Linked DNA regions of Stegostoma tigrinum. The protein of the gene in region 2 interacts with the protein of the main gene of each other region in a pairwise test. Links are inferred from orthologs where the notes say so. Each region holds a gene or a part of one and is shown on either strand. Other genes may lie near its edges.

Region 1 (7,686 bases), on a different chromosome or scaffold from region 2:
GTCTTTTCATTGTACTCCTATATGTGAATAAACATGTAGAGATTGGAACTAGGTGGGCCTCATCGACTGTGAGATCCTTAATTGGGCCAATCAGAGAGCCCCAACTGACAGATATAAACAGGGGAATTAGAGACTCTCCTGACTTCAGGGAACAACTCTGAGCTGGCTCGTCACAGCCAGTGTATTGTGCACATGTAAATAAAAGGTGACTTGGTGACAGCATAGCAGTCTCTGCATAGTTATTTCAATAAAATCTGATTCGAATCTTAATTCTAAAGGGTTAAATAGATTATTGATTACCAAGGAACATCAGGATATATAGGAATGTAGAGCTGAGATTAAAATCAGATTAGCCACCAACTTATTGAATTGTATATCAGGCTCAAAGGGCCGAGTGGCCGACTCTTGATCCTTATATTTGCATATTTATAAGATGATATAATGTTTGTGAAAGGCCAACTTACACATGTAAATTTGTCACAGCTAGTGAGGCGGTATCGCTTTCCATATGCCACCACCTCCATGGCGACATTGAGGTCCTTCCAATGCCAGCAATCTCCTTGGTCATTCTTGGGGAGTCGCTGTCTGTTGATCAGTTTGCCCTGAGTTAGTCCAGAGTTATCCACTTCTGGCTCATGAATGGAAATACTGTCATCCTCCAGGTAATAGTACAGGATGATCGGTCGAACCCGATAATATTCATATGGGGATTCGTGAACTGTTTCCTTGAAATATCCGTCAAATTTCAACACCTGGTTAAAAATTGAGAGAACACTTTCACTGAAAGAATACAATGTGGGTGATGGGAGGCAGGACATGTGATTGAGGGAGAAGGCATGGTCCGTGAGAGGGGGGGCAATAGAAAATATGTTCAGCGGGCGAATGTTGAACAAATTACAAAAACATTACCTTCTTATCAAAAGCCACGTGCCCAGGAACGAAATCTGCTGGTGGGGCCTGTTTGGCCTGGCCATAGGTTAATGTTGGTTTTTTATTAGCCAATTCATCCACATCAGACAGAGACAGCTGATTGACATGGATTGGTTCCCCACCAATCCCAACCTTGGGCACAACAGGGACAGCAATGCCGTTCTTGTAGAAGAAAGTCTGTGATCGATGGAAGTTAGACTTCTAAAGACAATTAGAATGATAGAATTATCAAAACAGGAACAAGTAATTCATTCCTTTTTAAAGATAATCCCTAACTCGCCATCTTCTCCATGCCTCATTTGCATTCTTTCCTCAAAAACCCAATGAGATATAGGAGCAGGATTAATCCATTCGGCCCATTCCTTCATCGATGCTCTTCACCCTCACCGTCTGCTTCTCTCTCCCTCCAATAACCCCGTCTCTTTCTCTCTCTCCCTGATACTCTATCTCTCCATTACCCATCTCCCTCCTCCAATGACCCCCCCCCCCCCCCCGATGTCCCTCTCACCGTGGGGTCCCGGAAAGTATTGCCTGGGAGGAGTGGGAGCCCCCGCACAGGATAGCAGGACATTGCCTCTGCCCTGGCTGGCAATTCTCCCTCTCCTTCAACACAATCTATCTCTGTCTCACACTCTATCTCTCTGTCTCTCTTCTTTTTTCTCTCTCGCACACACACACACACACCCCTTTCTCTCCTACTTTCTCTCACTCACTCTGTCACATACACACTCTGTATCTCTCTTGTGCACACACCCTGTCTCTCTCTCTCTCTCTCACACACACACTCTCTCTCCTGTCTGTGGGTCTCTCTGTCTCTCTCTCTCACACACACACACACACACACACACACAGTCTCCCTGTCTCTGCGTCTCTCTCTCTCACACTCTCACTCTGTGTGTCTCTCTCTCTCACACACACACTCTGTCCCTCTGTCTGTGTCTCTCTGTCTCTCTCACACACACTCACACACACTGTCTCTCTCTCTCTCTGTGTCCCTCTATCCCTCTCTCATGCACACAAAACTGTCTTTCTGTATGTGTGTGTCTGCGTATGTGTGTGTCTCTCTCTCACACACACACTCCGTCTCTCTCTCTCTCACACACACACACACACACACACACACACACACACACACTCCGTCCCTCTCTCTGTATCTCTCTCTCGCACACACAGACAACACACACTGTGTCTCTCCCTCTCTCGCACACACACTCTGTCTCCCTCTCTCTGTGTCTCTCTGCCTCTTGCACACACTCTGTGTGTCTCTCTCTATCTGTCTCTCTCTCACACACACACACACACACACACTCTGTCTCTCTCTCTCTCTCACACACACACTCTATCTCTCTCTCACACACACACACTCTGTCTCTCTCTCACACACATACTCTGTCTCTCTCTCTGTGTCTCTCTCTCTCTCTGTGTCTCTGTCTCTCGCACACTCTCTGTGTGTGTCTCTCTCTCTCTCATACACACTCTGTCTCTCTCTCTCTCTGTCTCTCTCACACACACACTCTGTCTCTCTCCCACACACAGTGTCTCTCTCTCTCTGCCTCTGTCACCCACACACACTCTGTGTGTCTCTCTCTCACCCACACACACTGTCTCTCTCTGTGTCTCTCTCTCTCTCTCACCCACACACACTCTGTCTCTCTCTGTGTCTCTCTCTCACCCACACACACTGTCTCTTTCTGTGTCTGTCACCCACACACACTCTGTCTCTCTCTCTCACCCACACACACTCTGTCTCTGTCTGTGTTTCTCTGTCACCCACACACACTCTGTGTGTCTCTCTCTCACCCACACACACTCTGTCTCTCTCTCTCTCACCCACACACACTCTGGCTCTCTCTGTCACCCACACACACTCTGTCTCTCTGTGTCTCTCTGTCACCCACACACACTCTGTCTCTCTCTCTCTCACCCACACACACTCTGTCTCTCTGTGTCTCTCTGTCACCCACACACACTCTGTCTCTCTGTGTCTCTCTCTCACCCACTCACACTGTCTCTCTGTCTCTCACCCACACACACTCTCTCTCTCTGTCTCTCACCCACACACACTCTGTCTCTCTCTCTGTCTCTCACCCACACACACTCTGTCTCTCTCTCTCTCACCCACACACACTCGGTCTCTCTCTGTCACCCACACACACTCTGTCTCTCTCTCTCTCACCCACACACACACACTCTGTCTCTCTCGGTGATAACCGGTTTTTTCTTCTCGGTTTAGCTCCGAATCTGTTTCTATGGAAACAGTAAACAAGCCAGGCTCACTCGGCAACACGTCAATCCGAGGGCGGATTGGCTGAGAATCGGAGTCGCTTTTCTCCTTGTTTTTAACCACATTCCCATCTCCCAAATATTCCCAATCCTCAATCATTTCCTATTCCCAACAAACCCCATCTCCCAAATGTGCCCAATCCTCACTCATTCCCAATTCCCAACAATCCCCATTTCCCAAATATTCCCAATCCTCAATCATTCCCAATTCCCATCTCCCAAATAATCGAAATTCTCAATCATTTCCAATTCCCAACAATCCTCATTTCCTAAATATTCCCAATCCTCAATCATTTCCAATTTTCATTTCCCAAATATTCCTCATCCTCAATCATTCCCAATTCCAAACAATTCCCAGTTCCCAAATAGTGCCAATTCCAATTTCCCAATAGCAACTCCCAACTTCTATTTCCAATTCCAATCAGTCCTAGTCCCCAAGTATTCCATTTCCCAAATGTACCAAGTATTGATAATTCCCAAATGTTTCCAATTTCCAATCTCCAATCATTCTCAATTCCCATACACTCCTGTTCCCTAAATATCCCAAATTCCCCCAAAGTTCCTAATTCCTAAATATTCCCATTTATCAATGTATCCAATTCCCATTAATCAAAGTATTCTTGACCCCAAAATATTCCCAATCCCCAAATGTTCCCAATTATTCCTGATACCCAAATATTCTTGATCCCAATAATTCCTGATTCCCTTTTCTAAAATATTCCCAATTCCTAATTATTCCTGATCACTAAGAATTCCCAAATACCTAAGACTGTATTTTTGATCCAGAAAAGTGCTCAGTCAGCCTCAGATTATGTTGGAAGGGTATGGTATTAATTTTGAGCATCAGATGGCATTAGCCATTTATTTCTGCTCCTAAGCAGAAACAACAAGGGAACTGTTCACCACTAACACAATGTTGCTGATGAGCCAAAATGTTGTTCTGCATTCCATGCAATTGAGTAATTGGGCATATGAGATCCAGTGCTGTTGTGATTGGCAGATATGTAGGCTGTTAAATCCAAACAAGTGAAGGATTATATCAAACAGCTTGTCCCCTTGTCCGTCTGCAACAGGTAAACTGCTGACTGTACTCCACCAGACTGTGCATGCAAAACTCAGAACATATTTTCCAACATTAAATGGGATTCCACAAATGGATAACAATTGCTAAGAGACATAGATAAGCTGCAGAGCTGGGCTGAGAGGTGGCAAATGGAGTTTAATGCAGACAAATGTGAGGTGATGCACTTTGGTAGGAGTAACCAGAAGGCAAAGTACTGGGCTAATGGTAAGATTCTTGGTAGTGTAGATGAGCAGAGAGATCTCGGTGTCCACGTACACAGATCCTTGAAAGTTGCCACCCAGGTTGACAGGGCTGTTGAGAAGGCATACAGTGTTTTAGCTTTTATTAATAGAGGGATCGAGTTCCAGAGCCAAGAGGTTATGGTGAAGCTGTACAAAACTCTGGTGCGGCCGCACTTGGAGTATTGCGTACAGTTCTGGTCACCGCATTATAAAAAGGATGTGGAAGCAGGATGACATTAGTGGGTAGATGGGGGTGGGGCTTGAGGTGGCAGGAATGGTTAGAGAGGAGGGGACGAGCTAGGCTGGTTTTGGGATGCGGTGGGGGAAGGGGAGATTTTGAAGCTGGTGAAATCCACATTGATACCATTGGGCTGCAGGGTTCCCAAGCGGAATATGAGTTGCTGTTCCTGCAACCTTCGGGTGCAATCGTTGTGACACTGCAGGAGGCTGAGGATGGACATGTCACCTAAAGAATGGGAGGGGGAGTTAAAATGGTTCGCGACTGGGAGGTGCAGTTGTTTATTGCAAACCGAGCGGAGGTGTTCTGCAAAGCGGTCCCCAAGCCTCCGGTTGGTTTCCCCAATGTAGAGGAACGAGCCCAGTTCGTCCCCGCCTCCCTAACCTGTTCTTCCTCTCACCTATCCCCTTCTCCCACCTCAAGCCGCACCTCCATTTCCTACCTACTAACCTCATCCCGCCTCTTTGACCTGTCCGTCCTCCCCGGACTGACCTATCCCCTCCCCACCTATACTGTCCTCTCCACCTATCTTCTCCTCTATCCATCTTTGGTCTGCCTCCCCCTCTCTCTCTATTTATTTCTCTCCCCTTCCCCTTTTTAATGAAGAGTCTCAGCCCAAAACGTCAGCTTTTGTGCTCCTGAGATGCTGCTTGGCCTGCTGTGTTCATCCAGCTCCACACTTTGTTATCTTCCATCCATTGGCTCTAATTTACCAACTCTATAGGTCAGATGCTCAAAAAATTCTGGTAGATTTGTTAAACATGATTTCTCTTTCATAAATCCATGCTGACTCTATCTGATCATGTCACCATTTTCTAAGCATTCAGCTACTAAATCTTTTATAATGAACTCTAGCATTTTCCTTACTACCATCAGAGCAACCTCTATCACTCCTCCTTTTCCCTCTGCCTATGCTTTTAAATAGTGGCGTTACATTAGAAACCCTTCAATCCATAGGTAATGTTCCAGAGTCTATAGAACCTCGAAAGATGACCACAAATGCATCCTTGGACCATATCCTTAAACATTGTGGTATATTGATTATGGAGCCTTGGGGATTTATTGGCATTTAATCCTATCAATTTTCCCAAAACCATTTCTCTATTAATACTTATTTCCTTCACTTCCTCCTTACCATTGAAGCCCAGGTTTCCCAACACTTTTGCAGTGATATTGGAATCCTTTTTTTGTGAAGACAGAACCAAAATATTTATTTAATTGGCCTGTCATCTCTTTGTTTCCCGTTTTAACATCCCCTGTTTCTGAGTGTAAGGGATCTTCATTTGGCTTCACTAATTTTTTTGTACGTATCCCTCATACTTGGTGTCACACTCAATATTCCACTTCTTAATGAATCCCTTTGTCCTCATTGCTGAAATTTAAACTGCTCCCAATTTTCAAGACTGTTGCTTTTTTTTGTATTTGTATGCCCCTTCCTTAGATTTAATGATATCCCTCACTTCCCCTTGTTATCCACTGTTTCCATATGTTTTGTGGGCAGGAATGAGCAATTGTTGCAGTTTCTCCTTGCGCATTTTAAATTTTTGCCATTGCATATCCACTGTCATCTCTTCAAGTAACACTCCCCAATTTATCATAGATGCCTCAAACGTCATACCATTGTAGTTTCCTTTACTTAGATTCAGGGCCTAGTCTCAGAATCAACTGTGTCACTCTACATCCTAATGAAGAATACTATCATATTTTGATCACTCTTCCTCAAGGGCCTTGCACACTTAGATTGCCAATTATGCTTTTCTCAATACACAAGACCTGGCCTAGGATGGCCTGTTCTTTAGATAATAAAATGTGAGGCTGGATGAACACAGCAGGCCAAGCAGCATCTCAGGAGCACCTGAGATGCTGCTTGGCCTGCTGTGTTCATCCAGCCTCACATTTTATTATCTTGGAATTCTCCAGCATCTGCAGTTCCCATTATCTCTGGCCTGTTCTTTAGTTGGTTCTTCAATGCATTGGTCCAGAAAACCATCTCATTCATACTGCAGGAATTCCTCCTTTGTAATATTGTTTCCGATTTGATTCACCTACTCTATATATACATTAAAATTGCCCCTAATTACAGCTATAACTTAATTGCTTGTAAGTCCAATTTCTTGATTGACGCCTTCCTCAACGTTACTACTATTGTTTGGGAGTGGGGCTAAATACAACCTCCATTATTGTTTTTGAGTCTTGCTTTTAATTTCCCTCTTATTGTATGATAAGGTGTTCATTAGAATGACCTTTCAAAGCCACATCTCCTTCCTCAGTGTCCTGTCTACAGCTCCAATTTACCCCATGTGGTTATGGATTTCCAACTGAAGTTCATCTTTCATGGTTTGAATCAGATCAGAAGACACATGATACCAGACTATAGTCTAATAGGTTTATTTTAAATCACAAGCTTTTCATATTTCTGCTCCTTCATCAGGTGAAGTGGAGAGATAATTGCAAGATAATTCCAGGGAATTAAGAATGTCAAAAGGGTGTGAATGGAGCATTGACAGGCTGAATATCACATCTTGTCATTAGAATTAATCTTTCCAGCCACATCTCCGTCCTCAGTGTCTGTATCCAGCTCCAATTTACCCCATATGGATATGTATTCCATTCAGCCTGTTAACACTCCACTCACACCATTTGTACCATCTTTTGACATTCATAGTTACCTAGAATTACCTTGTAATTATGAAAGCTTGTGATTTTAATAAACTAGATCAGTTCTGAGGAAGGGTCACCGGAGCTGAAACGTTAACTGTTTTCTCCTCCACAGGTGCCGCCAGACCTGCTGAGCTCTTCCAACAACTTTGTTTTTGTTCCTGATTTTAATAAGCCTGTTGGCCTAACACCTGATTTCGTTTGACTTCGTCCACCCCTGTCCAACATTCACACCTCCAAATCATGTTTTAAATCCACATGGAATGTTCAAG
Region 2 (7,706 bases):
ACACACACACACTCCCCTCCCGCACCTACACACACACACCCATTCTCCCCCCCCGCACACACACACACATTCCCCCCCCCCCCCACACACACACACATTCCCCCACACACACACACATTCTCCCCAACACACACACACTCCCCCCCACACACATTTCCCCTCCCCCCCCACACACACACATTCCCCCCACACACACACACACTCCCCACACACACACACACACACACATTCACCCCCAACACAAACACATATTCCCCCCCCACACACACACACACATTCCCCCCCCACACACACACACACACATTCCCCCCCCACACACACACACACACACTCGCTCCCCCCACCCACACACTCACACATTCTCCCCCCCCACGCACACACACACATTCCCCCCCGACACACACACACACACATTCCCCCCCACACACACACACATACATTCCCCCCACACACACACACACATTCCCCCCCCACACACACACACATTCCCCCCACACACACACACATTCCCCCCCCACACACACACACACATTCCCCCCACACACACACACATTCCCCCCACACACACACACATTCCCCCACACACACATTCCCCCACACACACACACACACATTCCCCCACACACACACACACACATTCCCCCCCACACACACACATTCCCCCCCACACACACGCACACATTCCCCCCCACACACACACATTCCCCCCCACACACACGCACACATTCCCCCCCACACACACGCACACATTCCCCCCCACACACTCACACTCCCCCCCACACACACACACTCCCCCCCCACACATACTCCCCCCCCCCCCACACACACACACACACACACATTTCCCCTCCCCCCCCACACACACATTCCCCCCACACACACACATTCCCTCCACACACACACACTCCCCACACACACACACACACACACACATTCCCCCCCCCACACACACACACACACACACACACACACATTCCCCTCCCCCACCTACACACACACACCCATTCTCCCCCCCCGCACACACACACATTCCCCCCCCACACACACACACATTCCCCCCCACACACATACACATTCCCCCCCCCCCACACACACACATTCCCCCCCCACGCACACATATTCCCCCCCCACGCACACACACATTCCCCCCCCCACACACACACATTCCCCCCACACTCACACACGCACACACATTCCTCCCCCCCACACACACTCATTCCCCCCCACACACACACATTCCCCCCCCACACACACACATTCCCCCCCCACACACACACATTCCCCCCCCACACACACACATTCCCCCCCCACACACACTCATTCCCCCCCAACACACACTCATTCCCCCCCCACACACACATTTCCCCCCCACACACACATTTCCCCCCCACCACACACACATTTCCCCCCCACCACACACACATTTCCCCCCCACCACACACATTTCCCCCCCACCACACACATTTCCCCCCACCACACACACACACAATCCCCTCCCACACACACACACATTCCCCCCCCACTCACACACAGATATTCCCCCCCACGCACACACATTCCCCCCCCACGCACACACATTCTCCCCCCGCCACACACACACACACACACACACTCCCCCCCACCCACACACACACATTCCCCCCCACACACACACATTCCCCCCCTACACACACAAACACATTCCCCCCCCTGCACACACACAAACACATTCCCCCCCTACACACACACATTCCCCCCTTACACACACACATTCTCCCCCACCCCCACACACACACATTCCCCCCCTACACACACACATTCCCTCCCCCCCCACACACACACACACTCCCCCCCCACATACACACAAATATTCCCTCCCCCCACACACACACATTCCCTCCCCCCACACACACACAATTTCGCACCCCCCACACACACAAACACATTCCCCCCCCAACACACACACCTCCCCCCACACACACACACACACACACTCTCCCCCCCCCCCACACACACACACACACACACACACACACACACACACTCCCCCCCCCACACACACACATTCTCCTCCTCCCACACACACACTCAGATTCCCCCCCACACACACACACAGATTCCCCCCCCACACACACATTCCCCCCACACACACACATTCCCCCCACACACACACACACATTCCCCCCACACACACACACACATTCCCCCCACACACACACATTCCCCCCACACACACACATTCCCCCCCCACACACACATTCCCCCCCACACACACATATTCCCCCCAACACACACTCACGTCTTCCCCCCCCACACACACACATATTCCCCCCCACACACACGCACACATTCCCCCCCACACACACGCACACATACCCCCCCACACACATATATTCCCCCCCCCACACACACACACATAATCCCCCCCCCACACACACACACATAATCCCCCCCCCACACACACACAATCCCCCTCCACACACACACATAATCCCCCCCCCACACACACACATAATCCCCCCCCACACACACACACATAATCCCCCCCCACACACACACATAATCCCCCCCACACACACACATATATTCCCCCCCCCACACACACACATATATTCCCCCCCCCACACACACACATATATTCCCCCCCCACACACACACACACACATTCCCCCCCCACACACACACACACACATTCCCCCCCCACACACACACACACACATTCCCCCCCCCACACACACACACACATTCCCCCCCCCACACACACACATTCCCCCCCCACTTACACACATATTCCGCCCCCCCACACACACACATACATTCCCCCCCACACACACACACTTCCCCCTCAACTCACACACACACACACGCACACACACACACTTCGCCACCAACAAACACACACAGACTTCCCCCCCAACACACACACACACACACACACACACACTCTCTCTCTCTCTCTCTGAACACCCTCACACACACACACAGGTAGACATACACTAAATCTATTGAGTGAATTTGTATTTGCTGATACATTCCATTTTGTTCAAAAAGCACACAATTTGTAGGCATTCAGTCAATGTATGGTTTTATAAATTCATACTTTAGAAATAAAACTACTTTGATTCTAATCTAAAACATAAACACATTCTAATCAAGGTCTCACATCTAACATGAACTATCTGATGTAAAATGTCACCCTTGTTTACACTGATAAAACCTTGAGTTCTCTCCGGACCAAGATTAAAGATTTAACAGCATCCTATGTTTCTTTAGGATATCCTCAATGTTGTGATCCTTTGATCTTTTACTTACAAATTGTGTCTGATACTACCTCTTACACTAACATGTGAAGGAGGACTGAGGGTCCGAAAGCTCGTGTTTTGAAATTAACCTGTTGGACTGTAACTTGGTGTCGTGTGATTTCTGACCTTGTCCACCCCAGCCCAACAATGGCTGCTTCACATCATGCATATTCGTTGATGCTGGATGTCTTGGTAGCTGTAAGGTTCCATGATTTCTCAGTTAGTTGTTGCCTTAGATCCGGTTCACTGTTCTTTTAGAGTTGTTGTGCGAATTGGATTTTCTAACTGAATGATGGTTCCAGGCAGCTGTCCCTGTGACTATGTATTTCCCCAGAGCATCGACTAGCTGTTGTTTTCTTTAATTTTAGAAGTTCTGTCACAACTCCAGGATTTTGTTAGAAGGCAAGGGTTTTTGGTACAGTATTTAAAATGATAGGGATACTACAATGCTGAGGCTGATTGATTAAGGACCATGTAGAGAGGCAAATATAGACAGCATGAGAGTGGGGAGCAAGAGCGAGCAGAGACAGCAAGAGACAGACAGACAGAGAGACACAGAGGGGAGAGCAGGAGAGCAAGGCAGTGATAGACCCCTGTTCCCAAGAATGCGGCTTCACCCATGGGTCACTTGCCCCAGTAGAGGAATTTGGCCGTGCACCCCATGCCCCAGAATGTGACATCACACACAGGTGCCTCGCCCCAGAATGTGATTCCAATCATGAGCCCACCGCCCCAGAATGTGACTTTGACCGCAGGCTCCTCGGCCCAGAACGTGACATTGCACACAGGCCCCTCATCCCGGAAGTCGACAGCGCACTTGGACCCCTCGCCTCAGAATGTAACATCTGCTGCGGGGGCCTCACCCCAGAATGTGACTCTGATAGCATGCGCCCTCACCCCAGCCTGCAACACAAATGCAGGACCTTCTCACTAGACAGCTTAACAACTAAAAACAACTTGAAATCTGGCAAACCACCTCCCTCTGCTTGACTGCGTTTACTCTCCCCACACTGCTTGACTGCAGACCACTTGTTGAATGCAAAGCTAATTGTATACCCTTCTCCCTAGAATATGACCACGCCCGCACACCCTTTGCACCAGGCTGCACTGCCCTCTGGCAATCAATCACCCGAGGCATAGCACACGTTTTTCTGGCCAGACCATGATACCAACCACAGGACCCTCTCCACAAAATGCCACACTGATTGCTAACTACTCTTCCAAAAATGCTCAACCGCAGGGTACTATCCCAGAATGACATCATTGTAAGGGTCCTGTTTACACGTTGATCGATTGCGGGCATGCGTCAGATGGCTCAACCGTAGTCCACACACTGCAAACATCTTGACTGCCTGGCTCTCTCCACACAGGGCACAAAAGCAATGCCAATGTCAGTCCAATTGCCCTAGGCTTGCCAACTGTTCTCTCCAAAATACATGTCTACAACTCCAATTTCAATTCGCTCAAAGCAGATAGCTCAATTGCGATGCCGAATGCAGACCAAATTTCCAGACTCCAACACTGACTGTGGGCCACACTTCCCAGATTAGATGACCATAGACCACTTGTCCCATACTGTTTGAACACATGCAACTTTCAAAGACTACAATGGTGATCATGGCCCATTTTTCCAAGACTGCATAAACACAGGCCATTCATCAGAGTTCATTCCAGCTTGGATCCCAGGTCCGATCCTCCTCCACCGTGACATATTCCCCAACTGCTCAAACTCTGGCCAATCAGACCACACTGTTCAACAGCTGACCACTTGCCCCTTCCCCCAGACTGCAACACCGACACGGGCTGCTGGACCCAGTAGGCAATATCAACTGCAGGCCCCCTAATTGGACTGACGCTCACAGTGGGCCAATCTGACCAGAATGCAATGCCAAACATGGGCCCTTCATCCCACAATGAGACATCTACCACAGGCCCCTCACTTCAGCCTGCTCGAATGCGACACTGACTATACGTCCCTTTCAATATATTGCAAAACAGCGAAGATGGCTCAAATTCTGCCCACCCATCCGAGACTGCTCGACAGCATGTAATCTCTTCAGACTTTTCAACTAGAGGCAGAGTCAGAGAACACAGAAACCAGTTCATGCCGACTACAGTTCCAACGAAATTAGTCCCACCTGCCTGCACTTGGCCCATAGCCCTCTGAACAGTTCTTATTCATGTAGTTAACTAAATGTCTTTTAGACATTGTAACTTTTCTGCATCTAACACATTCCCTGCAAGTTCATTCCACTCACCAACCACTCTGTGCAAATAAACTGCCCCTCGTGCATTTTTCAAATCTTCTATCTCTCAGCTTAAAAATAAGCCCCCAGTCGTGAAATCCCCCACCTAGAGAAAAGATACCTACCATTCACCTTATCTGTATGTCTCATTATTTTATAAGCCTCTATAAAATCATCTCTCAACCTCCTGCATTCCAGTGAATGAAGTCCCAGTCTGTCCAACCCCTCCTTATAACTCAAATCCTTTATTCCTGGAAACATCCTGACCAATCTCTTCTGAAACTTCTCCAACCTAATAAATAATATCCTTCCTATAACAGGGTGATCAGAACTGGACAGAAAATTCCAGAAAAGACCTCACCAGCATAATGACTACGGACTACTCTTTCCAGAATAACTGAAGGCAAAGCTACTGCAAGCAAGTCACCTAGAATGTTAGGAAACAACATTAGGCCCCTCACCCCAGAAAGCTCAACTGCATGTCGCACTTCCCAGACTGACCGCATGTGCCATCAACTTTGGGCACTGTTCCCATACTGCTCTGCCACCAACGTGGCCCATGAACGCAACGCTAACTGCAGGTTTCCTCACCAGTCAATGTGATATATAGAATGTGGCATCAACAGTTGTCCATTCTAATCAGAACGCGATGCCGACCCTGGGGCTCCTTGGTTAGAATGCTCAGCCAACTATAGGTCCCACCCTACAAAAAGCAACGGCAACCACAGGCCACTTTCCCTAGACTGCTCAACCATGGACCACTCTCCGCAGAACGTGATGCAAACCACTACCCGCTTACCCCACAAATACAACACCAATAGCAGGCCCCTCAACCAGAATGTAACGCTGACAGGGCTGCCCTCCCCCAGGGTATCCAGCACCAACATCTGTCCAGTCTCCCCAGAATGCTTAACCGTGGACAACTATCCCAAAACGGCTCAAACACAGGCCACTGTTCCCGTACTGCTCAGCCGTGAGCCACTTTCCCAGACCACTCAACTGATATGCCCATGAATGCAAGGCTGGCTACAAGCCACAGTTCCCATACTGGTCAACACAGGCCACCAACCCCAGACTGTCTGACCGTGTCAGCGTCCCAAGAGTGCTCAACTGAGGGCCACTCTTTGCAGAGTGTTCAAATTTGACACCAACTACAAACCCTTCACCCCAGAAAGCAATATGACTCTCAGGTCCCTTGCACACGAAAGCTTGGCCAACCAGTAGCTCCACCCTCCAGAAAGCAATGCCAACAGCAAGCCTCTTGCCCCATGAATGTAAAAAGGACTGCAGGTGCTGTGAATCAGGAACAAAAACAGAAGTTGCTGGAAAAACTCAACAGCTCTGGCAGCATTTGTGCAGAAAAAAAAAATCAGAGTTAATATTTCAGGTCCAGTAGCCCTTCCTCAGTTCTGCTGAGACCTGCTGAGCTATTCCAGCAACTTCTGTTTTTGCCCATGAACATAATGCTGACTGTGAACCCCTCACCCCAGAAAGCAATGCAACTCTCAGGCCATTGCCCAAAAAAGCTCTGTGAACCATGGTTTATTCTCCCCAGAACTGGCCACTCTCTCTACACTGCGGCACCAACTGTGGGTGCCTCCCACAAAATGCGACACAGAAGGCAGGCCATTCTCTCCAAAAAGCATAATTGGAACAGTAAATTTGAGTCACTCGAGTGCAATACCGAATGTGAGCCACTCATCCAAGACGCACTCTCACCAAGTTGTGCAAATGCAACAGTTGTTGATTGTAATGCCCACTCAGATGGATTGGCTGGAAGGGCATTAGAAGAGGCAAACTAAAACTAAAGGCACAGGTGGCCGTAAACGGGGCCCAGAGAAAACAGACAAGCAAGTTATGTACTCTCTCACCCTCATTTACCTCTGCAGCAAATGCAGCAGAGTGCCCTGCCAAAATAGGGAATGAAGTCACACCAGAGGATGCTTAACACACTGAGTTGACAATCTCACTAATTTTTGATTTTAAAAAGGCTGCCAATCTTGGACTAACCAATGATCAAACTATATGTTGGTACAGATTCAGGAAGCTAAATGATATTATTTCTCACTGGAAACCAGTCTATTTTACATGGAAAGTATGAGCGAGAATGATTTGTTCATTTGCAATTGGTCTTGGATTGCTAGATAATCTCTTCCCCAACATGTCTTCCTCAAAATGT
Region 3 (8,790 bases), on a different chromosome or scaffold from region 2:
AATGGAGCAATCCAGGTGCAGCAGTACTATGTAGTGATGTATGACAAGAAGTGTTTACGGGGGTGCATGCGGTAGTTGGGGCAAGACCATGGCAGTGTCAGAAAACATGCTTACTTGACCTTAAAATACCTTTCATAAGAAACAGGAATGGGAGTAGGTCATTCAAACTCTTAAGCCTGCTCCACCAGTCAACAACAACACAGCTAATCTGCTCCAGGTCTCAACTCACCAATATCTCAAAAATCTATCTACTTACTCTTTAAATACTTTCAGTGATCTAACCTCCACATTTTTCTACAGTGGAAAATTCCAGACATTTGCTGGGAAAGGAAATTCCTTCACATCTCCGTTTTCAATGAGTGTACTCTGATGAGATTTCCTACTAGTTAAAACATCTCAACGTTTACTATTAAACCCATTCAGACTCTTCTATGTGTCAACATGAAAAAAAACTCTCATTCCTGTGAAATGTAATGAATAAAGGCCAAACCAAAAGGCCACTATTGATAAGTCAGCCCCTTCATCCTAGGAATCTACCCAGGTGAAATCTCTTTTGAACTGCCTCCAATGCAAATTGGGAGCAAAATTGTACACAGTACTCCAGTTGTGGCCTCATCAACACTTTGTACAGTTCAACCAGGACTTTCCTACTTTTAAAACTCCAAGCCCCAGCAATAAAGGTCAAAATTTCATCTACCTTTTTAATTATTTGCTCATCTGCATGTTAACTTTGTATTTCAGGCACAAGAACACCCAGACCTTTCTATGTTGCACTCTCTTTGGAGTCTCCCCTCTTTCAAAAAATAATTTGCTTATTGATTCTTCCTACCAAAGTGGATGACCTCACACTTCCCGTGATTAAACTCTGTCTGCCATGCTTTTGCCCATTCAACCTATTGATATTGTCTTGCTGATACCTTTTGATCTCATCACAACATAACCTCCCACCTATTTTTGTATCATCAGCAAATATGGATGCAACACATTTTGTCCCCTCTTCCATCATTAAAATATATAGTATAATTGAGGCTCCAAGATTGATCCTTGCAGCACTTCACTGGTTACATCTTTTCAACCTGAAAAGATCTATTAATCCAGACTCTGTCTTCTTTGTGTTAACCAATACACAATCCACATTAATACACTACCCTCAATACTGTGAGCCCCTATCTTGTGCAATAACTATTTTGTGGCAGCTTATTTAAATGCCTTGAAATCTAAGCATACTACATTTACCAGTTTCCCTTTATCAATTCTGCATGTTATATCCTGAAAGGCCTCCAGTAAAAGACCTCCCTTTCACAAAACTTGACTACTTGATTGTGTTAAGCTTTTCTAAATGTTATTTCTTCCTTAATAATGGATTCTAGCATTTTCCCAGTGACTGATACCTGACCTACAGTCTCTTCTTTTTAACTCCCTCCCTTCCTTAAGTGGTGTCACATTAGCTGCTTTCCAATCTGTAGGAACTCTCCAGAAATTCAGAGAGTTCTGGAATGTTTTGATCAATGCTTCTACTATTCTCCGTAGCAACTGCCTTTAAAGGCCATTAGATCCTGGCAACTTGTCAGCTTTTTGTCCAATGAGTTTGTCAATTACTTTGTCACTCATTATAAGGACTGTTCAAAGATCTTTTCCACTATTAGCACCTTGTTTATTTTACTGTCTTCCATCTCCAACAATTATGTAAAAAAAACTGGTTTACATGATCTGCCATTGTCTTGTTACCCATTAAATCCCCGGTTGCACTGTCCAATGATCCCACACTTACTAGAGCTACTCTCTTTTCTAAGTACCCAATGAATTACTTTTAAAGCAGGGTCACTTACCATCTGATTCCATTGGTTCCCCTTTGTAACTATCTGTAAGGAATATGTGAACATCCAGTAGTTCTGCCTCATCTACAAATTCAAACTTGATTCGTCCAATTTTTTCCAGGCTGTCCACAGTCAGACTGCTCTCCTCCCATAATTCTCTGAGGAAGAAATTAGCTTAACTTCAAGAACAAATTTAAAAGAGGTTTCAAAAAAACATTTCAAATAGCTGGAACAGAGGACACGGTCAGTCAGACTCTTCTGTTTACCTCTAACATTTAATGAGATTATGTCTTGTCAGTACCTCAATTCCATTGAGCAGACTGAATTACATTAACTGACTCGCAGAATAAAAAAAGGCCAACATTTTCACTGATACCTTGTGTTTACAGGAAGCATGGTACTAACCCTCCCCAGACTAAAGGCTTCTGGATTTGAACATTTATCTGTGATGAACTATACAATTTTTAAAAAGGAGCCTGAGGCAGACTGCGCAAGTCGATAAATTTCCAGAATTTGGATTTTTGAAGAAGAAATGAATTTAGTTAATACTGTGGGGGAGTTCATCAGAAATTCATTTGAACAGTGACCTAAATAGAAGATTTCTAAGTACAACATGAGACATCAGTCAACTATGGGATGAAATTCTTCTCCTGATGAGCTTATTAACAGTTGAATAAATATATCATGGAATTTGTTTCATTTTGACTTCAAAGCAGAAGAAATAAGTCACTTTTACAGAAGTAGTTTTGAGTCAGTGGAGCTTCAAAGCAGGAAGAATTCATATAGAAATCATTCATGTTAGAAATGAGAAAGTTTACACAGTCAGAATTGTCTCATGTTAACAGACTCAGAAAGCAATCATAACAGTTAATTAAAGGTTTAAAAAGCTGAGATAAGAGTGCTATTTCTCAGGAATGGACTTTCTGTAAAGGACTGGTGTTGGGAAATAAGATGAAACTTTGTTTTGGTGTTTGTGTTAAGAGTATTTTTAAACTGTGTTGTGTGTGTATATTATACAGTTTTGTTTATTTATTCCTCTTTTGTGTCGTAAATTTATGTTCTGTTGTATCTGCAGCCTTGTGAGAATGTTTCAGTGACTAACTGTCATGATAAATAACTGCAAAGATTAAACATTTGAATCATCAAACCAAGTTTCATTGTCAGACCTGACTTGTGACTGTTACCATCAGGTGGGGTTACATAATAGTACCAGTAATTCAGTTATGTGGAGAAACTGGAGAAGTTGGGGCTGTTCTCACACACCAGAGACATAGGCATCATCAACAAGGCCAGTTTTTGTTGCTGTTCCATTTCAGAGGGCAGCTAAGAATTGAATACACTGTTTTGTGATCTGGAGTTACACATAGGCAACACCGGGTAATGATGGCAGATTCATGAAGCAGATGGGTTTTTACAACAAAGTTTCATAGCTACTAGTACTGACACCAGCTTTCGGTATCAAACTCAGTGATTGAACTTAAATTCCAGCAGCTGCTGCGGTGGATTCTGAACCCATGTTTCCAGTGAAAGTTAAGGGACAACTCAATAGAGGTACCCAAAATGTTGAGAGGTTTTGAAACAGCAGATTGGGAGAAAACATTTCCATTCGCGGGACAGCAAGTAACCAGAGATCACGGTTTTAACATAGTTAGCAATATAAAACAGAGAGGGTACGAGAAGAATGTATGTTTTACAAAGTGAGTTCTGATGATTTGGAATGTATTGCTTCAAAAGACGTTGAAAGTAGGTTAAATAATAGCTTTCAGAAAGAAATTGGGTATGTGTTGGTCAGGATACAATTAGACCTGCCTGTCACGTCCTCTTTTGTTGTACAGAATGCCAATGCAGCATGGCTGCTATGGACCCCGGTGAGAGTGATCACCTTTGTCAGGAGCATGAAGGGAACAATAAATAGCACAGGCATTACCTTTTTGCTCCTTCTTCAATGGTTTCTCCAGGCTGCACTTTGCCTCCAAAACCATTCCAGCGATTGGCCCCAAAACCCCGTTTCTTCCATCCCAGGAGGATCTTTTGTTGCCTTACAACCATCACCAGAGTCAACAGCTTTGTGGTGATCATCTTTCTGCAATAGTATTTTCTCAATAGCTGGCAGCTCTTGGTCGGGAAGAAATTGTGTAGAACAGCTTTGGAACCACATTCAATAACTTGCAATTGATGTATAGTTAAATTTCCAAGATGCTCCTCAGGAACATAAAACAAAAATACCTGTGATCAAGTCACATAATGAGATTTTAGGACAGGTGGCAAAAACAAGGCCAACGTTTTTGGTTCTAAACAAAGTCTTAACGGGTGAGAGCAGAGATTTAGAAATGGCATTCAAGAGTTTGGGGCAAAGAAGCTGAAGATATGGTCACACAGGGAATTGTTGATGTAACACAGGCCAGAGCTCAAAGCTCTGGAGACTGCAAAGATCATGAGGAAATGAAGCTTTGAAGCAGCTACCAACTCTGATAGTGTGATTCCATTGAATCATAAAACAAAAAAACCTCCATGCTCGCTCCTCAGAAGGCAGCAGAATTTGCCAGGACCATGTTCAGAAAAGAATGTGCACTGATGTAATGCTTTTCATGTCTTCTGTAAGTCCCAATTTAATTCTTCAAACGCATGCACTTCTAATGTAATCTTATCACTAGAACACATTTGCACAGGTATATGAATAGAAAAGGTTTAAGAGGGATATGAGCCAAACACAGGCAAATGGGACTTGTTTAGTTTGAGAACATGGTCAGTATGGACTGTTTGAATCTGTTCGCATGTGGTTACTGCCACTGCCTTGTCTCATTTCCTCCTTTTTAAAAGTGCCATTGTTTTGATCATCTTTTCACAAAATTCCAAAACAATGCAAATGTTTATAAAACAGTCATCACTGCTCCTAGAATTCGAGGAAATCAGCTCCAACACTGAAAATACCTCAAAAAACAAACAGCTCTTAACAGCCACTATTTTTTCCTGTCCTCTATCTTGGAGGGACATGGATAGAGTAAATAGACAAGGTATTTTCCTCTGGGTGGAGAGGAAGGGGGAAGTCCAAAACTAGACAGCACAGGTTTAAGATGAGAGGGGAAAGATTTGAAAGAGACCTCAGAGGCAACTCTTTCAAGCAGAGGGTGGCGTGTGTATGGAATGAGCTGCCAGAGGAAGTGGAGCAGACAGGTTCAAATACAACATTTAAAAGGCATCTGGATGGGTATATAAATAGGAAGGGTTTAGACGAATATGGGCTAAATGCTGGAAATGGTACGAAATTTACTTCGAATATCTGGTCGGCATGGCCGAGTTGGACGGAAGGATCTGTTTCCACGCAGTTCACTCTGTTAAGTGCGTTTTCCTAAGTTAAGGACAACTAAAACTAAAAATTTACATCAGAACAATGTATCCATGGAGGGAAAAAGCAGAGTTAACGGGTTCGAGTCCAAAAAGAGTTCATGGACTGGAAATGTCAACTCTTTCTCTGTTCACAGATGCTGCCAGACCTATTGAGTTTCTCCAGCGCGCTGTTTTTTGTTTCACATTTCAAGCAGCCGGAGTTCTTCATGTGATTATAATAAACAATGTATCCATTTCTGGCTTTCGATGAAAGGAAGATTTGTTACATTTGTGATCCTGGGTCAGGTACCTGATTGACTGAACTCTTTACATCCGCAGACTGCACTCTCTCCTGGATTAGCACAGGGGCCACCAAGCACCAACGATTAGAATCGATTCATTACTCGCCGACAGCTGTCGCACGAGGTGAGTTACATTCTGCACACGCCGGCTGGAAACATAATATAAGAGCATTTTTGTATATCGTTGTATTGAAGTAACGCAGCTACTTCAAAGCAGGATGATTACATTTCCGTTGATATGTATTTATTCTCTTATATTTTATTAATATCGTGGCGACTGGCGCAAGACTTTTGTTTTCTAGAGTCTACTTTGACTGGAAGTGTTTGTGGAGTTGTGTTTGGTTGGGGGACAGAGTTAGTTGTGACTCGCGGAGCTGGGAGCTCGGTGTTGAGCGCTTTCGCGCCATATCGCCTGGTAAAGGCCCAGTTTGCGTTTTGCATTGATTTAAAAGCGTTTTATCTCCTTACCGAACGTTTCGTAAAGAACCTAGCACTTACAGCGCTGTTACTTATCTTAAGTGTCACCGCAACTTGTATTCATATAGCGCCTCTGACATAGTGATCCGCTCCCCCGCCGCTCTGAATTGGAATGTCATGAGAAAGATTTCAAAACCGAACCACATAAGAAGGTGCTCAGTCAGAAAACCGAATAATTTGGCTTTGGAGGGCCGCTAAAGGAGGGGAGGGATTGAGATATTTAGGGAGGAAAATTACGGAGATTGTGACCCGGACAGCTGAAGGTATGGCTGCTAGCGTTGGAGCGAATATAACCAGGGATGTACTAGACCTGAGATAATGGGAACTGCAGATGCTGGAGAATCCAAGATAACAAAGTATGGAGCTGGATGAACACAGCAGGCCAAGCAGCATCTCAGGAGCACAAAAGCTGACGTTTTGGGCCTAGACCCTTCATCAGAGACGGGGACGGGGAGAGGGTTCTGGAATAAATAGGGAGAGAGGGGGAGGCGGACCGAAGATAGAGAGAAAAGAAGATAGGTGGAGAGGAGAGTATAGATGGGGAGGGGATAGGTCAGTCCAGGGAAGACGGATAGGTCAAGGAGGTGGGATGAGGTTAGTAGGTAGGAAATGGAGGTGCGCCTTAGGGTGGGAGGAAGGGATGGGTGAGAGGAAGAACAGGTTAGGGAGGCAGAGACAGGCTGGGCTGGTTTTGGGATGCAGCGGGGGAAGGGGAGATATTGAAGCTGGTGAAGTCCACATTGATACCGTTGGGTTGCAGGGTTCCCAAGCGGAATATGCGTTGCTGTTCCAGCAACCTTCGGGTGGCATCATTGTGGCACTGCAGGAGGCCCATGATGGACATGTCATCTAAAGAATGGGAGGGGGAGTGGAAATGGTTTGCAACTGGGAGGTGCAGTTGTTTATTGCGAACCGAACGGAGGTGTTCTGCAAAGCGGTCCCCAAGCCTCCGCTTGGTTTCCCCAATGTAGAGGAAGCCACACCAGGTACAGTGGATACAGTATACGATATTGGCAGATGTGCAGGTGAACATCTGCTTAATATTGGAAAGTCATCTTGGGGCCTGGGATGGGGGTGAGGGAGGAGGTGTGGGGGCAAGTGTAGCACTTCCTGCGGTTGCAGGGGAAGGTGCCGGGTGTGGTGGGGTTGGAGGGCAGTGTGGAGCGAACAAGGGAGTCACGGAGAGAGTGGTCTCTCCAGAAGGCAGTCAAGGGTGGGGATGGAAAAATGTCTTGGGTGGTAGGGTCGGATTGTAGATGGCGGAAGTGTTGGAGGATGATGCATTGTATCCGGAGGTTGGTGGGGTGGTGTGTGAGAACGAGGGGGATCCTCTTTGGGCTGTTGTGGCGGGGGCGGGGTGTAAGGGATGTGGATGTGAGTTTGCTCGCTGAGCTGGAAGGTTAGTTTTCAGACGTTTCATCACCATTCTAGGTAACATCATCAGTGAGCCTCCGACGAAGCGCTGGTGTTATGTCCCGCTTTCTATTTATCTGGTTAGGTTTCCTTGGGTTGGTGATGTCATTTCCTGTTCTTTTTCTGAGGGGATGGTAGATTGGCTCCAAGCCAATGTGTTTGTTGATGGAATTCCGGTTGGAATGCCATGCTTCTAGGAATTCTTGTGCATGTCTCTGTTTGGCTTGTCCTAGGATGGAGTTGTTGTCCCAATCAAAGTGGTGTCCACTTTGTAAGGATACGAGTGATAGTGGGTCATGTCGTTTTGTGGCTAGTTGATGTTCATGTACCCTGGTGGCTAGCTTCCTGCCAGTTTGTCCAATGTAGTGTTTGACACAGTTCTTGCAAGGTATTTTGTAGATAACGTTCGTTTTATTTGTTGTCTGTATAGGGTCTTTTAAGTTCATTAGCTGCTGTTTTAGTGTGTTGGTGGGTTTGTGGGCTACCCTGATGCCAAGGGGTCCGAGTAGTCTGGCAGTCATTTCGGAAATGTCTTTGATGTAGGGGAGAGTGGTTATGGTTTCTGAGCCCGTTTTGTCTGTTTGTTTGGGTTTGTAAGGGATGTGTTGCGAGAAATGCAGGAGATGCGGTCAAGGGCGTTCTCGACCACTGCGGCGGGGGGGAAGGTTGCGGTCCTTGAAGAACTTGGACATCTGGGACCTCAAGCCGCACCTCCATTTCCTACCTACTAACCTCATCCCACCTCCTTGAGCTGTCCGTCTTCCCTGGACTGACCTATCCCCTCCCTACCTATACTCTCCTCTCCACCTATCTTCTTTTCTCTCCATCTTCGGTCCGCCTCCCCCTCTCTCCCTATTTATTTCAGAACCCTCTCTCCATCCCCCTCTCTGATGAAGGGTCTAAGCCCGAAACGTCAGCTTTTGTGCTCCAGGGATGCTGCTTGGCCTGCTGTGTTCATCCAGCTCCACACTTTGTTGTCATATAGTAGACCTGAATTAGAGGAACGCTGTGAAATCAGAAGGTTGTAGCAGGGAAAGGAGATTGGTTAAATTAAGAGTTTTACACACAGCCAATCCCTATCTGAATCCATTCGCTCATGCCATGGTCCACCTACAAGTTTGCTTTTTCTTGCTGGTCAGCCACATACCATTTCGTATCGGACTAACTAATTCTTCCAATGCTCTATTCTCTGCAACCAGCACTGAATTCTGTGAAATCAGCTTTTCGGATCCGCTGACCTTTCATTCTCAGACGTTAGCTCTGCTGCCTCTCCACAGATGCTGCTAGGCCGGATAAGGCTTTCCAGCAATTCTTGTTTTTGTTCTAGATTTCCAATATCCGCTGTTCTTTGTTTTTCGTTTCCTGAGTTCCGTGTCCGACTAATACTTATCGGTACCGTGTTACTGGAGTGGACAGGGGAGACTTATTTCCACTAGCGGAGATTTCAACTATCT
Region 4 (8,013 bases), on a different chromosome or scaffold from region 2:
AAGAACATTTTTTCCTTTTGATTGTTGTTACTGCATTCAGTTGTATTCTAACACAATCAAAATAAAAGACTGATAGAGCACATGTAAAAGTGTCCTGCTTTTTCATATATTTATCACACTGTGACTATTTGAACACTGTTTAAATGTCCCAGTTAATGCATGGGAAATTTGTGCTGTCAGTTCTACAAATTTTTTTAATGTTTTTAAAACATGGGCAAGGAAACCTTCAGCTGATTACCACGCCCAATCCTCCCTCAGCTGGTGATTCGGTACTCTTCCATGTTGAACAACACTTAGAGGAGGCACTGAGGATGGCAAGGGAACAAAACGTACTCTGGGTGAGGGATTTCAATGTCTTGGGAGCAGTACGACTGATCAAGCTGGTCGGCTCCTAAAGAACATAGCTACTGGATTGAGTCTGCGGCAGATGGTGAGGGAACCAGCAAAAGGGGGAAACCTATTTGACATCTTCCTCATCAATCTACCAGCTGTAGATACATCTGTCCATGACAGTATCAGTAAGACTAACCACACAGTCCTTGTGGAGAAAAGGTCCTGCCTTCACATTGAAAATAACCTCCATCATGCTTCGTGGCACTATCATCGTGTTAAATGGGACAAACTTGAACACATCTAGCAACGCAAGACTGGGCATCCATGAGGTACTATGGGCTATCAACAGCAGCAGAATTGTACTCCAGCACAATCTGTAACCGCAAGGCCCGGCATATTCCCCACTCAACCATTACCTGAAGATGAGGTGTCAACCTGGTGCAAGCCACCAAAGAGGACTAGTTTCACCCCAAACAGCAAAAGCACCAAGTGATAGAGCTAAGCAATCCCATAACCAACTGATCAGATCTAAGCTCTGCAGTCTTTTCGCAGCAATCTTCAGCCAGAAGTGCCCAGTTGATGATCCATCTTGGCCTCCTCCAGTGGTCCCCAGCATTACAGATATCAGTCTTCAGCCAATTCATTTCATTCCACCTGATATCAAGAAACGGTTGGAGACACTGTATACTGCAAAGGTTATGGGCTGTGACAACGTTCTAGCAATAGTACTGAAGATTTGAGTTCCATAACTTGCTGCTCTGCTCACCAAGTTGTTCCAGTGCAGTTACAACACTGACATCTACCTGGCAATGTGGAAAATTGCCTAAGCATGTCCTGTACATAAAAAAGCAGGATAAATCCAATCAGGCCAATTACTGCCCTATCAATCTCCTCTCAACCATCAGTAAAGTGATGGAAAGTGTCATCAACAGTGCTATCAAGCAGCCACTGCTCAGCAATAAACTGCTCAGTGACACCCAGTTTGGGTTCCACCAGGGCCATTCAGCTCCCGACCTCATTACAGCCTTGGTTCAAGGGCAAAAGAGCTGAATTCCAGAGATGAAAGTGACAGCCTTGACATAATGGCGGCATTCAACCGAGTGTGACATCAAGGAGCCCTGGCAAAACTGGAATTAATGAGTATCAGAGGCCAAACTCTCCAGTGTTTAAAGTCATACCTGGCAAATAGGAAGATGATCGTGGTTGTTGGAGGTCAATCATCTCAGCTCGAGGGCATCTCTGCAGGAGTTCCTCAGGGTAGTGTCCTAGGCCCAATGATCTTCAGCAGCTTCATCAATGACCTTCCTTCCATCACAAGGTCAAAGGGGGGGATGTTTGCCAATGATTGCATAATGTTCAGCACCATTCACAACTCCTCAGACACCAAAACAGTCCATTTCCAAATGCAACATGATCAGGGCAATATCCAGATTTGGGCTGACAAGTGGCAAATAACATTCATGCCACACAAATGCCAGGCTATGACCATTAGCAATAAGAGACTATCTAACCATCATCACTTGATATTCAATCGTTACCATCACCGAAGCCCCAACTGTCAATATCATGGAAGTTATCATTGATCAGAAGCTCAACTGGACTCACTACATAAACTCAGTGGGCCACAAGAGCAGATCAGAAGCTAGGATTACTGCAGTGTGTAACTTGCCTCCTCTCTCCTCAAAGTCTGTCCACCGTCTACAAGGCACAAGTCAGGAATGTGATGGAATATTCCCCAGTTGCCTGGATGGGTGCAGCTCCAAGAACGCACAAGAAGCTTGATACCATCCAGGATAAGGCAGCCCGCTTGATTGGCACTACATCTACAAGTATTCACTCCCTCCACCACTGACTCTCCAGAGCAGCAGTGTGTACTGTCTACAAGATGCACTGCAAAAATTCACCAAAGATTCTCAGACAGTGCCTCCCAAACCCACAACCAATTCCAATTAAAAGGACAAGGGCAGCAGAAAAATGGGAACACCACCACCTTCAAGTTCCCCTTCAATCCACTTACCATCCTGACTTGGAAATATATTGCCATTCCTTCACTGTCACTGGGTCCAAATCCTAGGGTTCCCTCCCTAATAGCATTGTGGGTCAACCCACAGCAAGAGGACTGCAACAGTCCAAGAAGGCAGCTCACAACCACTTTCTCAAGGATAACTGGGTATGGGCAATAAATGCTGGCCAGCCAGCGATGCCCACGCCTACAAATTGGAAAAAAAAAGGTCTTTAAAATGAGACTGACACATGGCAAGGGCTCTCTATGCTGCAAAAGATACATTGTTTTGGGGGGGATACAGTGCAGACGTGCTCAAGTGATACTAGAAACAGTAGGGTTAAATTATTAAGACTGGCAACATAAATGTGGTTTGCATTCTTTTGACTGCAGAAGCTTAAGCAATGGTCCAATCAACTCTTGAAAATGTTAAAGAGATTCAGGACAACAGGTATAATAAATCTATTTCCTTTAGTTGGGGATTCCAGGACAAGTTTGAGAATATTAGTAAAAAGGCCCAGAGGACCTTGAGCATTAACATAGAGGCATGGAATAAACAAGGAAATTATTATGCCTCTTTATAAACATGGGTTTGACCTCAACTTAGAAAGGGAGTATAAAAGATTTATGCAAAAGTTTCATGGATGAGGGATTTCAGTTAAATGATACAAAAGCTAGGATTAGTTTTAGAGAATATTGAGAGTTGTTTCAAGTTGTTCAAATTTGTGATTGATCGAGTTAGGGACAAATTGCTGTCATTGGTGAAAGGGTCAAAAAGCAGAGGATACTGAGTTAAGATGGTTGACAAAATAATCAAAGGCAACTTGAGGGAAACCATTTTTATGTAGTTCAGGGTTTTGATTTGGAATGGATTGGTGGATTCAATCATAGCTTTTGAAATGGAAGTGCAATACTATTTGCAGAGAGCCAGCATTGGCTTGAAGGACCAAGTAGCTTTCATATGTGCTTTGTCTATTCTATAATTTGATAAGAGGTACAATAAGTTAATGAAATGAGGAAACACTTCTTAGCTGACCTTTGTCAGAAGTTAACAAGTGATTGAGAAAACATATGGCATATTGACCTTTATTACAAGAGGATATGAGTATTGGAGTGAAGATGTCTTATTGCAATTATGCAGATCTTTTGTGAGTTCACATTTGGTATATTGTGTATGATAAAAACCAAAAAAAACTACGGGTGCTGTAAATCAGGAATAAAAACAAATTTGCTGGAAAAGCTCAGCAGATCTGGCAGCATCTGTGAAGGAAAAAACAGCGTTAACGTTTCGGATCTGGTGACCCTTCCTCAGAGCTATATTGTGTGTGATACTGGTATGTTTACCTAAGGAAGGATATGCTTGTCACAGAGTGAGTAAAACAAAGGTTCCCCAAACTAATTCCTGGGATGGTTGTTTAGTCCTATAAGAGGAAATCAGACGAGCCTATATTCCCTGAAGTTTAGAAGAACGAAAGGTGATTTCATTCAAACAGGGGAAATTCTTACAAAGCTTGACAGCGTAGATACAAGAATGATGTTTCCCCTGGTTGGGGTGTCAAGAACCAGGAGACACAATCTTAGAGGCAGGGGCACACCATTCAGGACTGAGCTGGGAAAGAATTTCTTCACCCAGAAAGTGGTGAATCTTTGAAATCCTCTGACCCATGAGACTATGGAGGATTGCTGTTTAATTATGTCCACAATTGAAATTGATAGATTTCTACATCTTAAAACAGAATCAGGGATAGTGCAGGGAAATAGTGTTGAAGTAGATCAGCTATGATCTCCTTGAAAGGCAGAAGAGACTCAGGGCTGAATGGCCTACTCCTGCTGTCATTTTTAATGCTCTCAGAGATGAGTATAGTATGCCAGGATGAAGATGGGGAATGAAATTTTCTGAGCAATATTGAGAAGGGCACAAGAAGGCTCATTAGATTTGAAAGATTAACCCTGCTTTCTCTTCACAGATGGTGCCAGTTTCTCCAGCAGTTTATGTTTGTTTCAAATCAACATCCGCAATACTTTGTTTTATTGTCACAACACGACCTCTTCCGTTAACTTTTCCAGTGTGCCCTTCGATGGTAAAATAAAGACAGCGATGAACAAAGTAAGGAGCATGCTATCCAGATGCAAATTGCTTTTTAAGAGCGGATTATTCCCTGCCAGTGTTTGTAGGTCAGGCATGACTGAGTTCAGCATTTCAGAGACTTGGGGGGCGGGTGGCTGCAGACCGGAGCGGGGATGGTAACTCTTTAACCCGAGATGGAAGAGTTTGCAACAGGGGCGTTACCTCGGTAACAGAAAGCCTCCCCGGGGAAGCTGTAGTTGATTATAATGGAAATCTCCAAGGCAGACTCAGACCGGCACCTCACACACGCTTGTCCTGATGCTTAGAGAGTGCATGGGCGAAGATGGGTTCGGGATGGTCAAGAGGCCAACGCAAGCTGATCCAGGTGAGGCCGCTACCCGCAGCCCAGGCGGCTATTTGCCCCGGAGTGCAGCGGTACGGCAGCAGCCGGGTAGACAGCTCGCTTGTGATACACGACCACCTGAAGGCAGCCTCTCTGCGCCGAGGGAGCGAACTTCCTCCCCTGAAGGAGGTGCGAAATGGCACTCACGCACTACCCAACCTCAGGCAAGGTAGGTGCAATGTGGGCTCGGAGCGGGGAGGGGGCTTGAGCAATGTCAACGTTCAGCAGGATTTATAGTATTCACTCTCTCTGAATCGTTTTTTGTTTTCACAGAGGATGATTAGCGAAAGATTCGTAAAGTTGGTGTTTTGTACAATCTCCAGATTATTTAGTTCCATTACTCCGTTGGGCGGAAGAGCAGCCTTTTACAAGAGAATCTGTTTGTGCAAATACATTTTCCATTCAGCAGCTTTTCAAGTCCATTAACTTCTGTCTCCACAGTTGATTGTAATTTCTTACAGATCAGGGAGCTCAAGGATTTGTCAGTTTCCTTGTGCATTTCACTTTGTTAATTATTATCCAAATTTACATATAACTTTAGCGTTTGTTTCGGCAAAAAAGGTCATTGGTGTTTTTGTGCTGCTAGTGTTTGACATGGCGACCTGCGAGGACGCTTGGAAGTGCTGTCCATCAGAGGAATTTTGATGTGGCAGTCCACAGTTTCTTGAAGGCAGCAGGTCGGCTGGCGAAGGAGCATGTAGGATACTTGCCTTTATTGGTCAAGGTATTGACTACAAGACCAGGGCAGGCTACGATGAAGCCGGAAGGAAGATGAGTTAGGCCGCAGCTAGAGAGCTGTGTGCAGGTCTGGGCGCCGCTCTATAGTAAGGATATGATTGCACCAGAGATCACCAAGATGTTTGAAGATAAAGCGATCCAGCTATGAAGAGAGACGAGATAGGCCCATCTCTGGAGAAGGGTCTAGGACCGAAACATACTTCCTACTTCTCAGATGCTGCTTGGCCTGTTGTGTTCATCCAGCTCTACACCTTGTTATCCGAGATAGGCTGTGTTTTTTCTAAAGATGGCTGAGGGAGACGCAGGGAACCTGATTGAGGTATACAAAGTTATGAAGGGCATAGCAAACTTTCCCCTTAGGAAGGGGGTCACTAATGGGGTGGGGAGGAGCTGCATTGGCACAGATTTAAGGTATGCAGCAGTAGATTTAAAGGGAATTAAAAAAAATAAATCACACAGGTAAGAATCATCAAAACATTTCAGAAATATTTAGATATCTACTTGAAATGCAAGTGTGTATAAGGCAATGGGCCAAATGCTGGAAGGTTGAATTGGACTTTAATATAATGCTTGATGACCAGCATGGATGTGAATGGGACAAAGGGCCTTTTCCTGTGCTGTAAAAACTGTGTGACTCTATGTTTTTCTTTATATTTTCACCTTTCAAGTACCTCGTGCCTTCTCATTTGAAAGCAGTTTGGATGATGGGGAAAGGAGCATCATCAAAAAACATCCTCCCCGAAAATTTGAGGTGAGAAGTATTTGAACTAAATTATTTTGCAGCTGTCAACATGCCGAGTCTGTTGTAAATTAGTCAAAAAGTAAGAACAGACAGAAATTCTAGCTGGTATCATGTCCTGGGAAATGACTGTCCTAACGCTCAATGGTGAGGATAGTTGGAGGCTGGATGTACACTGAATGATGTTCACCTGGAGCATGTGGAATTGAATACATGGGAATTGTACAGTAAATGGAAACTCTTGATGGGCGGTTACCTGGTCTGGAACTCACTGAAAGGCTCCCCGATTGAATTAGAACTGAAGTCTTTGGAAAATTCAGACTGGCTTCATGGAATCCCTGCAGTGTGGAAGCAGGACTTTCGACCCATTGAGTCAAAACTGACTCTCTGAAGAGCATCCTACCCAGACCCACACCTTACCCTATAAATTCCATGGCTAATCCTCCTACCCTGCACATCCTTGGACTGTGGGAGGAAACCCCAGCACCTGGAGGAAACCCGCACAGACACAGGGAGAATGTGCAAACTCCACACAGTTGCCAAAGGCTGGGATCGAATCCAGGTCCCTGGCACTGTGAAGCAGTAGTGCTAACCACTGAACCACTCTGCTGCCTCAACTTGCCTGAATATTAAGTCAGGAATATCAGATAAGTTTGTTGCAGTACTACAGTGGCCTGAAAATTTGTTGGAGCAGGATTGACAGGAGTCATGTGTAGAACCCTTGAGAATTGCCCAGGAAGTTAAATTTTCTGATGGGTGATTGTCCTGCGTCTGGACTCCTTCAAAAGAGTCAATTAATGTCAATTAATGGAGGGCTCAAATTCATTTAAGCTCAATAGTTACTCTAGAAAGGTAAAAAAAACATTTCTTTGCCATTGGTAACTATCAACTCTTCCCCCAATATCATCATTGGCACTACGACAGCTGCTGAACCCTAACATACCCAGAGTAACATCCTATACCCCTAACTTAACCCCCTTCTTCGCTGGCCTGTTATTGCCACCCTCTCCTTCACTTCACCTCTCCCATCACCCAATGTGTTCCTATTGATGCTAAGATCCATCATCCCTGACCCAAGCTGAACGAGAGATCCAACCCCACCAGCACTGCCTAAATCCCCAATCTACTTGAGCTGGTACCATCTTCCCACCCAGTCTGGCCCTGCTGGACCCAATACCGCTCCCTGACAATAACTGTTCCTCCCTGCAACCTACCATGAGCACCCTCCTGGTACCCTACCTCCCTCATTTACCTAGCACCCTATCTCCCTCACTCACCTGGCACAATGTCTGTCTTACTTTACAGACTTACTGTCTTCTCAGTTATTGTTGGTGGTTTTGGGGCCTTTCATTCCTGAAATACAGCATCATGTCATGAAAAAGAGGCACGTTCTGGCCTGTAATGCAACTCTGACATTGGGTGATTTTCTGCCTGCTTATCTCCCATGGATGCATTCAGGCCAGACCAGACTCAGAATCTTGGCTGGAGAAATCTGCAACAGGTAAATGGGCAATTTTTAAGAAGAATATCATAAATTGAATCTGTTCTGGCAGTTTTTGGAATATCTAGACCAATGTTTCTTGCCATCTATCTTCATTAGATCTGCCAGCAATTAGTATGGCTTGTGGCATTGGCCACATGACTACGGAAATCACATTAGCACATGTTGCATTTCCATCCAAATGGAACCAAACATTGCTGTAACTCCTGGCTCACCATAGAAGTGACTC

Evidence for each region.
Region 1: the proteins of tex11 (region 2) and efhc1 interact in binary tests that used the Homo sapiens proteins (3 or more experiments, as listed by UniProt). The two-hybrid records come from large-scale screens. The link is inferred for Stegostoma tigrinum from reciprocal best matches to the Homo sapiens genes TEX11 and EFHC1.
Region 3: the proteins of tex11 (region 2) and mad1l1 interact in a two-hybrid assay, tested with the Homo sapiens proteins (2 studies listed by BioGRID and IntAct). The two-hybrid records come from large-scale screens. The link is inferred for Stegostoma tigrinum from reciprocal best matches to the Homo sapiens genes TEX11 and MAD1L1.
Region 4: the proteins of tex11 (region 2) and uncharacterized protein CCDC198-like interact in binary tests that used the Homo sapiens proteins (3 or more experiments, as listed by UniProt). The two-hybrid records come from large-scale screens. The link is inferred for Stegostoma tigrinum from reciprocal best matches to the Homo sapiens genes TEX11 and CCDC198.

The regions. Positions count from the first base shown.
Region 1 is NC_081362.1:98,695,203-98,702,888, reverse strand, and holds the start of efhc1 (EF-hand domain-containing protein 1), read right to left. Parts: upstream 3,169-7,686; 5' UTR 1,502-3,168; coding exon 1,439-1,501; intron 1,132-1,438; coding exon 910-1,131; intron 753-909; coding exon 465-752; intron 1-464. UniProt on the Homo sapiens protein: Microtubule inner protein (MIP) part of the dynein-decorated doublet microtubules (DMTs) in cilia axoneme, which is required for motile cilia beating.
Region 2 is NC_081368.1:40,548,104-40,555,809, forward strand, and holds the start of tex11 (testis-expressed protein 11), read right to left. Parts: upstream 3,552-7,706; 5' UTR 3,451-3,551; coding exon 3,408-3,450; intron 1-3,407. UniProt on the Homo sapiens protein: Regulator of crossing-over during meiosis. Involved in initiation and/or maintenance of chromosome synapsis and formation of crossovers.
Region 3 is NC_081376.1:19,811,243-19,820,032, reverse strand, and holds the start of mad1l1 (mitotic spindle assembly checkpoint protein MAD1), read left to right. Parts: upstream 1-5,549; 5' UTR 5,550-5,570; intron 5,571-5,790; exon of another isoform or gene 5,791-5,861; intron 5,862-6,078; exon of another isoform or gene 6,079-6,186; intron 6,187-8,790. Other genes in the region: nudt1 (oxidized purine nucleoside triphosphate hydrolase), read right to left, coding at 1,830-1,975, 3,745-3,896. UniProt on the Homo sapiens protein: Component of the spindle-assembly checkpoint that prevents the onset of anaphase until all chromosomes are properly aligned at the metaphase plate.
Region 4 is NC_081363.1:49,544,777-49,552,789, reverse strand, and holds the start of uncharacterized protein CCDC198-like, read left to right. Parts: upstream 1-4,629; 5' UTR 4,630-4,746; coding exon 4,747-4,975; intron 4,976-6,212; coding exon 6,213-6,295; intron 6,296-8,013. UniProt on the Homo sapiens protein: May be involved in tuning the metabolism, energy expenditure, and excretion processes.